2 linked regions of the Drosophila melanogaster genome follow. The protein of the gene in region 2 purifies or fractionates together with the protein of the main gene of each other region. This does not show direct contact. Each region holds a gene or a part of one and is shown on either strand. Other genes may lie near its edges. The genes, in order: CG8064 and CG9799.

What was found.
Region 1: the proteins of CG9799 (region 2) and CG8064 purify together in Drosophila melanogaster (affinity purification with mass spectrometry, with the first as the bait; 2 studies listed by BioGRID). This does not show direct contact.

The regions. Positions count from the first base shown.
Region 1 is NT_033777.3:18,281,845-18,287,208, reverse strand, and holds CG8064 (uncharacterized protein), read right to left. Parts: upstream 3,550-5,364; 5' UTR 3,476-3,549; coding exon 3,318-3,475; intron 3,254-3,317; coding exon 643-3,253; 3' UTR 585-642; downstream 1-584. Other genes in the region: CG7131 (uncharacterized protein), read left to right, coding at 1-127, 189-244; CG14312 (uncharacterized protein), read left to right, coding at 3,755-3,794, 3,852-4,138; eIF1A (eukaryotic translation initiation factor 1A), read right to left, coding at 5,273-5,364.
Region 2 is NT_033777.3:13,384,871-13,390,340, forward strand, and holds CG9799 (uncharacterized protein), read right to left. Parts: upstream 3,840-5,470; 5' UTR 3,732-3,839; coding exon 2,573-3,731; intron 2,510-2,572; coding exon 2,078-2,509; intron 2,018-2,077; coding exon 840-2,017; 3' UTR 778-839; downstream 1-777. Other genes in the region: CCHa2 (CCHamide-2), read right to left, coding at 4,803-4,889, 5,178-5,425.

The sequences.
Region 1 (5,364 bases), 4.9 Mb from region 2:
GTGCCGCCCAAGGAGCCACTGCCGTGGGCCAGGTACACATCCTACTGCCGGCCAACCGGACCTATTGAGAAGTGTACCATCCAGAAACTTAGCTACGGACCGCCAGGTGCCTTCCAGCGCTGCGGAGGTAGGTTATCACCAGATTTACTTCCTAGCATTTATAAAAAAAAATGCATAATCCCAAACAGGTCCTTGTGGAACTGGCGCTAACGATGGCACCTTTCCCAAAGCCGGCATTTGTTAGCCTGGAAATACATTATGGTTGCTCTGAAGAATCCGTCTCCCAAGCTCATCCCGAGTTCTACGTTTTATGTTCAAGCTAAATCTTTCAGTCCACGTCTTCTAAAGAGATATGTTGTTTTCTGTTGTAAATGCTTGTCAAAGGGTTCGCTTTGCGAACTGCATCCATTAATCGAGCGGCGCTATCCGTTTGCTTCGCTGCACCATCGCTTTTATCCGATTTTGTCAATCCCATATGCATATACAGAAAATTGCCGGTGATCCAATACATGGCTTATGAATTATGGTGTATTCCTCATTGTCAAATTAAACTCTGTTCACAGAAATATAGAAATCCAGTAAATCACGGAATAACTAATCGTTTTAATTGGATTTATACAACTAAGTCTAGGGTATTGCGTCTCAAACCATTTGAATCTGCAGCCTCCGCTTGCTGGCTTCTCTCCGCTTCTTATCCCGTTTCTTGCGGGTCTGTGTGGCCTCCCTGAAGAGCTGGACACCATCGCGCTGCTCCACTTCCGTTTGCAGCAGGGCCAGACCGTGCAGGTTCCATCCTAAGACATCGCGCAGCTGACCAACGTCCCGCTTGAGCATCGAGAGCAGCTTGACGAGCAGCGGCTTCATGTTCTTAGCCGCCGAAATGGGCTTCATGTGCACCTTGAACAGGAAGATGGTGACGCGGCAAAGCAGCTCCAGTTGGTCGGGTCGCTGGGTCAGCAGAGTGGGCAGGCGTTCGAGGACTTCGCACACAGTGGAGAAGGGGAGTAGAAGAAGTGCCTCCTCCAGATCGGACGCACGTATCCTCATCAGGGTGCTGACCAGGAAGTCTTCGGGATTCTTAACCTGCAAAGCCTGCATCAGAGGATGTAACTCGGGTTTCTCCTCCGCCTCGAGCTCGAACTGTTTGGATATCTCCAGACATTCGAGTATCGATTCAGCAGACTGCTCGGAACCCACTGTTTTGCGTGACGGCATCTTCAGACCCGGAAGCAAGGGAACTGTGTTGTCCTCGCCCGTGGCCAGTTGCTCATTCTCCATTTGCTCTCGCTCCTCCTCCTGCACATCCTTCAACACAATAGTCTCATCTGTTCGCTCGAACATTCTAAGAGTTCGATCTGATCCGCAGGTGACCAAATATCGGCCATTCGGAGAAACGGACAGACAATACGCTTCGCCTATGTGTCCAGGTAAGGTAAGAATCTTCTCGAAGTTATCGCCATCCCACTGCTTCACCTTTCCATCCTTTCCACACGTGAAGAACATGTGCGTCCTGGGTATAAACTGTACACTCATTACCGAATCGTCGTGTGCAAAAATGGAACGATGACAGTCTCCGAAATTTAAGCCCCAAACTTTTACGTTACGATCTGCTGATCCTGTTACAATGAGATTGGAGTCGTAGGAGATGTCCAGGCAGATCACAGGTAACTTGTGGCCGTACAGTGATAGGTAGAACTTAAAGGTGTCCAGGAAGAAAACCTTCACGGTGGCGTCCAACAAGCCCACAGCCAGGTACTTCATGTCCGGACTAACGGCCAAACAGAGCACGGTCTCCTCCAGCTTCAGTGTGTTTTTGTGCAGCAGGGACAGCACCTTGGTTTGGGCAGCACCCTCGCCGGCATCGATCAGCTCGAATGTCCAGATCTTAACCGTGGTATCGCCGCTGCCAGTGACGCAACCCTTTTGATCGGGCAGTATGGCAATGGACCAAAGTTCGCCTTCGTGAGCCGGAATCTCCTCCACTATATCAGCCGCTGCCACGTCCACAATGAGCAATTTGCCACTCTTCATGCCCAGAAGGACGTAGCGATCGCCGGGAACAAACTTCGAACAGAGGATGTAGTCCGTTGGCACAGTACGCAGGCACTGCATGGCATCTCGATCCCAGAACTTAAAGGATTCTCCAGCTCCGGAACCAATGGCCAGGGAATCGTTGCTGAAGCATACGGATCGCACTTCGGACTGGTGCCCCAGACGAGTAAGTGACCTAAGTAGTTTCGCGCTGGGATCGGTTGCTTTGCGCGTTTTGATAGACGCCTCCAGCGAGTACAAGCACAGACTGTTGTTGGCCAAACTAACAAGGACACGCAGCTCCTGGTTCTGGCCCAAAACCACATCTATGGACTTGATCTTTTGCTTGGCACGAATGCTTTCCAGTCGCTTGATTTCATCGCTCAGCGATTGTTCCGTGGACAGTTTTGCTTCGTCTGATCCCTCATCTTCGGCGACCTTTTTCTCCTTCTTTAGACGCTTAGCCAGTCGTTTCTTTACCTCGTCCGGCGTGCAGATGTAGAAGTTCTCGATTAGATCATTAGTGCCGTGGCAGCTGATCACGCGTTCACTGGGATCGGTCACCAGGTTGACGGTGCGGCCCTTTCCAGCGCGCTGGATGGTGCCGCAGTTGCTCACGCTAATGGGGCTGATGGTGTCCTCGTCATCAATAGACAGGCCTTCAACTGCAGACTCCAGAGTTTCAGTGATGGCACCGTCGTGCTTTCTCAGGCGGTAGACATTCATGCCGCTTTCGCCGGCGCCAGCTACCATTAGATTCCCAATAAAGGCCAGTGCCCAGACTTCGGTGCGGTTATCCACGATTGTCTTGAAGCAGAACTGCGTCTCCAGGTTCCAGAACTTGATCTGCGTGTCCTTCGAACAGCTTACCACTATGCTCTCGTCTACCAGACGCTGCAGGAAATGGGCGTCCGTGATGGCGGCATTGTGGCCACTCAATCGAGCTCTTCCCGCCTGCTCCACCACATCGACGACCACCAATTCGGTGTCCAGGCCTCCGCTCACCAGACGCATGCCCTGCAAATCGTACCGCAGGATGCTAACAGCGTTCTTGTGGAGTGCCAGCGTACAGATGGGATCGTAGTACCTGTCCGAGCTGAGATCGAAGATCTGCACCATGCCATCCGCATAGCCAACGGCAATGTGCAGGTGATCTGGCGAGACCCTCAGGGAGGTGACCTCGAACTTTTCGCGGCGCAGCGTCAGCTTGCGATCGCCCATTCTGGGGAAATATAAATTCATGTCAGTTTAAAAACGAAGTAAAGGAAAAGCTTAAATAGCCTTACCGCAAATCCCACACGATCACATTTTCAGCAGCTGGAGCGGCCACATATCGACCCTCTGTCTTGTCCACAACGGCAAAGTTCACATTGGCGCGGCCGGAGGTGATGATATTAAAGCTGTCTATAGCCCGGTAGGCCAAATATTGTTTAGTTAAACCCATTGCAGCATTCAAAACACATAAGGTAAATCAAAAATCGCGTTTCACGTGTTTGGAGATGGTTCCCAATCGATTGCCAGCCGTTTCTATCGATTTGTTCTTCGCAAATCAAAGCAGTTGGCAGCGCGATTGGGTGGCAACGCCGCGCGATTTCCGTTACGCGCCTGCGCTTTTAAAACTCGAAAATCTAACAAACCCACCCCAAAACGTTTAAGATAACTCTGTTTTTGGCCAGCTCAAGCTGCAGTTTTTTCACAAATAGCACAGAACAGAGATCCAAATATGTCTACCTATCCCAGTGCTTCCGCATCCCAGTCGACAGGTATTAATAACATATATTCATTTTAATGAGAACAGAAAGTAAACAAAATCGCTCTAGGAACCTCTGACCTGGACACCGAGTCCGTGGAAGTTCTGCGGGAGCGGCTGAGCACCATGAAGCGGCTGATGGCCGAGCGGACGTCCCAGCAGCAAAACAACCCGGCGACCACGGAGGAGATATTCTCCACCAAGCGCCACCGCTCGGCGGGCATCATCGATGGAAACTTCCTGAGCATCGCGTTCGGCGGAGCTCTGCTGGTGATCATCACGGTTTCGGTGTACGCCTTCTACAGTCTCTACCATGCCATACTCAAGAAGTTCCCTTCGCGCCACGAGGAGCTGTAAACGATGCCAAATTCGATGGCGGTTTTCCGCTTACACACAATTATGTACGAGTTTCTGCATTTAATAATAAATTGTAGCATGAATTTTACTATCAAAAAGTGAAAAAGCCTTGGAACGTGTGCTGTTTTGCATTCGGGTTAATCAACGCCATTTATTGGAGTTCAACTCATTACAAAAATCAATAGTCTCATCACTTTTTACACATCCATTGTTTTTTGTTTGGTTCGAATTAGACTACAACTAAACTGAAAAGGGAAAACTGAATGCATGGACAGCAAAAAAGAAAATGGGGCGTTTGGAAAATGATTTGGATATTGCTATATGGAAAACCATCAAAATATAACGCAGGTGTATAATAAAAACAAAAGACATGACACGAAACGCTGAAAAGGAACACTTGGGGGGATGGGGCGCAGATATATCTGGCGAAAACTCATGGATTTGATTTTGCTTACTCGCTAGCTAACCTCACATCTCGCCTTTTGATCATTATTATTATATATCCTTTTGCCTTAAATATTAGTGTTCGCTAAACTCCTATTTTATGTGTATGAGTTGTAGATTTCATTAATATATCGTTATGTTTTTTATTTTTTTTTTTTACTTTTTCATTTAGTTGGATAGATTTGTTGGTAGATAAATAATAACTAATATCCGTTTGTTTTTCTTTGTTTTTTCGTTTTTAATTCAAATATTATTAGTTTATGTTTCGCAATGTTCCATTTCTTGCACAGCGTAACAGTTCTACTATTTGTAATTAATAATTTGTTGTTTAAGGCGGCCATAAATCAAACCGTTTCAATTTGGATTTTCGGAATAAAACAATTTCAGAGTAGATTAGAACATTAAAAATGGCTATAAATGAACTGATACTATAGGTTTGGTTTCGCAATTTAACTGCCGCTGCGCCGCTTTGTGGATGCCGGATAAATGTTTAGGATTGGATTAGATTGGATGTTGGCTATGACTTCGAACAGGACTCGGGGCTACCGGCTTTCTGCTTTTTACAATTGATTAAATTCCCTACTATTCTCGAACTGATTCCGCTTCTGCTGGTGCTGCTGCCGAGACAGACGTTCCAGACGCTCCCGCCGTCGTCGTCGTCCCACCCGGCGCCACTTTGTTTCTTGTTAATCAGATGTTGTCCACGGAGTCGGCGTCATCCTCGGAGCTGATCTCATCGCCGAACTCGATGTCCTCGTCGAAGCCATCCTCCACGAATGTGA
Region 2 (5,470 bases):
ACACTGTAATTGCGCTTGCAAGTGCCGAAGAACTCCCAAAAGCACCTTAAAACACCATCCAATTCACACTAGGAGGCCCAACCAATCGAGAGATCTAAAGTTATTTCATGCAAGCTACGATATTTAGGTATAAATCAAAGAAACTTATCAGATATATGCACTATGTCTATAACGCGTGGTTGTTTGTAAACCAACATTTTTCTTTATGTTTATGTTGCGTTGGATTGTCAAAGAATCGAAAACGGAAACTGAAACTAAACTAAACTGAAATTGAAATTAGCCGCCACTAGAACCGTATCTAAAGTCCGCGCCAGCGAACACGTCTAGGAACAAGTTTAAGTTATTTAATTCCAGCATAAATAAAAGCGTTAGTTTAAACGGATATAACAAATAAATAATTAATACACAATTTCAACCCAAATGCTGTATATTCTTCTTCCCATAGTTCCAGTATCACTTGCCTTCCTCCGGCTATCTATTGATTCCATAATCGCTGCATAGTCACCCGCAGGTGTGAATCATTCGAATAATGCCAATTGGAGATATCAGGCATATGGCAGTAGTTTCGTCTTGAGTACATTATTTAAAATGCTATCTGGGATAAGTAAAAGATAAAAAGAAAGATAAGGATAGTTTGGGATATATATGGTAATGCCATTAAATCGTTAAGGATATAATGAGGGATTTTGTAGTTGTTGAGGATTATAAAGCATCCTATAAATGAATCTGCGGACCTGCCTGTCGCAAGGAATAACATCAAAAGCAAATTCAAAATGTAAAATGTTTTGTAAATTTATTTACAAAATTTCAAAATGAACTACAACATAATCTGGTGGAAACTAGTGCGCAAAGTTTCGGAGAGCGGCCACAACTCCAGTTCCATAGATGAGCTTCTCCTCCACACGCTGCCAAGCCTCCTGCTGCACCTGGGACACAGTGCGCAGCTCCTTTACCAAATCCGGGAACTCCGTCAACCCGAGACCGTGGGATCGCAAGAAGACGCTTAGATACGATTGAGCCAGCTCAAAGTTCAGATTGGTTCCAAACATGAACTTAACGAGTTTGAGGAACTGCAGCATGGCAAGGAGTGTTCCTCCAGCCTCCGGGTGCAGAGATTTGATCTCAAAGTCAACCATCGATGGTCCTAGTTGGGTCAAGTGCGCCACAGCCGATGCGAAGTCCAGGGAGTCAGCAGTTTCCTCCAGCAGCTGGCCAAAGGCAGTAAGATTGTTGAGAGTAGAAGCCTTCCGAATCCGGGATTCATCCTCCTCCTTCTGACCGTTCTCCACATCGAAGCGCAGTTCCAGTCCCGAAACCGTGGGCAGGAAGAATGGGGCCTGTTTGGGAGCTTTTGGTGGTGCCTTGGGCTTGTTACGTTGCTTGATTAGCTCCAAATCCAATAGATTCTGCCAACGGGATGCAGCCAACCCGGATAGCGTTATCAGTTCCTCGGACAGCTGCGTTGGAGTTTCGTACTTGGTGTCAACTAGCTCGCCGAGTTTTGACTCGTCCTCTTCGTCGATCTCTAGCTCCTTCATGCCATCTTCCAGTTCCATGGCATCGCACACATTCGTGGGCAATCCCACGTACGGAGCCGGCTCCAAAGGATCGATGGAGCGCAGGGAAATCTGATTAAACAGCGTCTTGTTGGCCCACAGGTAAATGCCCAAAAGTCCAACATGTGCGGTGGCCAGAAAGTCGCCATTAGGCGACATACTTAACGATACGCAAGGCGCCTCGACGCGGAAGTGATCCACCATGTAGGAGGAAGGTATGTCCCACACCTTGATCGTGGAGTCCATGGCGGCGGTGATCAGCCAGCGGCTATCCGGACTGAAAGTGAGGTCATTCAGCTTGGCTGTGTGACCGACGAACTTGCGAACAATGACCCTCGTGTGCATGTCTACGACAAAAATCTTGAATGTTTCCAGACCAATGGCCAGCATGGAGCTCTCTCGGTGCTGTCGAATCAGGGCGATTCCATCTGCCAGGCGTAGAGTCGCTAAGGGCTTGTCAACTGAAGGATGGTATGATTTTACAAATGTTTTATTAACTTATGTTGTAGGCAATTCCTTACCCTTTCCTTTGAATGACCAGAACTTGAGCAAGCCTTCCGAACAGCCAGAGATGACGGTTTGGTTAAGATTGTCGCTGGCCAAGCCGCGTACTGCCATCTTGTGGGCTGGAGAGCCATAGGTAGCCCGATGGAGTCCAGACTGGATATTAAAGCGCTCAATGTCGCCACTGCTATAGCCAATGATCACAAAGTTGCCACAGTGCGTCAGCACAATGCATGTGGTCTCGTTCTGGAAGTTGGTGCGGTTGCTGTTTTGGAACTGTTTCGGAACCAGGCGGTGCTCGCCCATACGGTTCTTGCCAAACGACCAGGTTGTCGTCTGAATAACGCCCGCATGGATGGCAGCGATGTTATCCCACTCCTTTTCGCGAGCCGTATCCGATGTGAACTCCAGTATGGGTGGCATTCCAAACTTATCGTGCTCAAAGCGATCTGCAAAGAAGAGTTGCCTATTAAAAATATTTTAAAGCGAGCAATAAAAGCCAAAACACTTACTCTTCTTCTTTGTGGCTTTTGGATTGTAGGTAGCCCTGCCCATGCTCTTGTTCAGCGATTCGGAAATGGTGGAGAAGACTCTCATGGTGCTGTCCTCGCCCGAAGAGAGAATGGATACGCCCGAGCTGCCGTGGTAGCGAATACAAAACGGCGGCTTTGTGTGTCCCTCGCGGATCCTCAGCTGTCTGGCACCACCATCTGGCATATCGAAAACAAACATCCTCATTGAATTGTCTGGTGAAGTGGTGAAGACCACGGGCTCGCTGGGCAGACAAATGGCCGTGGTCACCGACTCCTCGTGCGCTTGCAGCTGACCGGCTAACTTGCGCTCCTCCAGGTTCCAGAAGGCCATGTAACCATTGCTGCAGGCGGACACAAGGATTGGTGGGCCGTCGGTACGGAAGGAAAGGTTGGTGACCTGACCCCAATCCTGCTGGAAGCTCATAAGCACCTCGTCGAACTTAAGGTTAAGCAAGATAATAGTGCCATCCCCGTGTCCCACGGCCACGACATCCAAAGCAGGGGACGGTTCAATGCAGGTGATCCTGCTGTCGTGGTGACTCAAAGTGCACACCACACTGTTCTTCTTTATGTTCAAGATCTTTAGTTGGCCCTGCTGGGAGCCTAGTACTATTTTATTGATGTACGTGGGCGGATGGGTCACAGCTGTGATCTGGAACTCCTCAGACCGGAAGGGCACTTCCAAATAGACATCCTCGGTTGAAATATTCCACACTTTTAACACATTCTGCCTATCGATGGCTATCAAACTGGAACCAAAAGGCAGCAGGAGGTGGACATCTTTCTGGTGGCCACGGTACACGTGCCGGATGTGTTTGCCCGCCCGCCAGGCGTAGATACACTTGTTGCTCGCCGTGTACGTGTGCAGTCGATCCGTGGCCAGAGCCGTAATCTCGTCCGGATGCAATCCGCTAACGTGCAGCAGGCGAAAGTGGTTGGCGGTGTACACCTGAAAAGATCTGCCGATGCAGGTGATCAGCAAAGTGTCCCGACGACGCTGCACGTAGCGGGTGACTGCTGGAACCTGGTTGCTCACATAGCCGAGGGCTCGATTCCGCCGGAAGATGCAGCTGCTCTCCTTGAACACAGACTTCCGCTCCTCCGACTGTGGCTTATCCTCCGACCGCAGATGCGTCATTTTACTGTCCGAAATGTCTCTTTCTGTCTTTTTATCGATTTTTTAAGCTAATATAAACGATTTCCGCAACATGCCGAAAATGTTTACTGCCAAAACACGTGTGGCGAAGTGTGACCGGAGCTTGAAAACAATTCACCTAACCATGGTTAAATATACTAAATGAAATTTAGAAGGGGTATTCGTATTTTATTACACTTTGGCGCCAAATGATTATTTCAAAAATAAAATAACGATTTTCATTTAACCCAAAAAACTGCAAACTAAAAGTTACGAAATATTTATGTATGCGCTTTCAAGTAAGTTACAAATATTATTTGGAACAATTAGAAGAAAAATAGATTATTTATCAATTCTGATTATTTAGAAGCCAAAAAAAGTTTTCGTTTCATTGGAGGATTCGGGATGAAAATTTTGTTTGCCTAAATCTATTAGATTATGCAAAAAAACAACAATCGTTGAATTTGGATGCTTTTGTAGCACATTTTATTATATATTTAAACAAGCATCTCTTTATAAATAAAACTGTTGGGAACAATTTGTTAGTGTTGCGCAGCCGTAATATACATATACACCTATAATGATTAACATACACAGTTTACAAAGTTAATATGTATATATTTTGTATGTTAAATAAAATTACAACTACATATAGTCTTTCGCTTTCTTCGTAAATAAACATAAATAAAATATACGTATGTATTTAACATATGAACAGTGAAACACGCTGTCTTTGCCGTTTTCTTCGATTTATTTTTCGTCGTCTGCTCCTTTTTTTTTTTGACACTGAAATCCTTACCAGCCCCTAAAAATTTCAGTTGGGTTTTTTTTTAATGTGTTCGATGCTTATGCAATTAGCATAAAAATTGACTGCCTGGTATGTGTAGACATTTATCAAACATTTTATACAAGTTGCGAAAGTAATTAACATTCATAAGTAATTCATGTGTTGTCGCTGATGTTGTTGTTGTTGCTGTTACTGTATCTCTTGATGTTGTTGCTCTTGTTTTTGAGGCTTATTTCCGGTTTTTAATGTACGTTGTGGATATTTCTGTATTGATAACTTTTCCGGCCTTAGTTCACGCCATTCAATTCGGCGGAATTGGCCAAGGGATAATCAAGTTCACCCAGGCGAGAGGCGGGTCGGCGAGGTCGGTTAAACTAAAAGGGGAAACATTCGATAGTAAAAAGGGTTAAAATCAATCCTATTCAAATCGTTTCATTCAACCAGGAATCCCCAAACTAATTCATATTTTCATCAAGGAAAAAACTATGGTTTTAAATCGCATTAAAAGCCGCCGAAAAAGTATGCAAAATACATCCAAATAGATTTAAACTATTTTTAAGTTGGTTTTAATCTGGGTAATTTTAATCAATCACGAGTGTTTAACTGACTACTTTCATCTTTAAGTGCTGCCAAATGTAGAACGGGACATAAAGGTCACTTACCCATGATTTCATGATTTTGTAAAGCACCTGACGGGCGGGATAGTCATTAAAGTCGCCCTCGAGCGGCACCTGTTCATTTGGCGCCATCATGGGCAGTAGGCCATTCGGACGCACATAGTCCGGTTCCTGCCCCCCGGAGGCTGCCTCGCCCATTCCCCCGCCCACTCCCGTTCCAGACCCGGATCCGGGGCTCAGAGAGCGCTTGCCATGACCACCGTAGCACACATGACCGTAGGCCTGGCATCCCTCTGAAAAAGATTGAAAATATGTCAGGCAGTGTCAACCTAATTTAA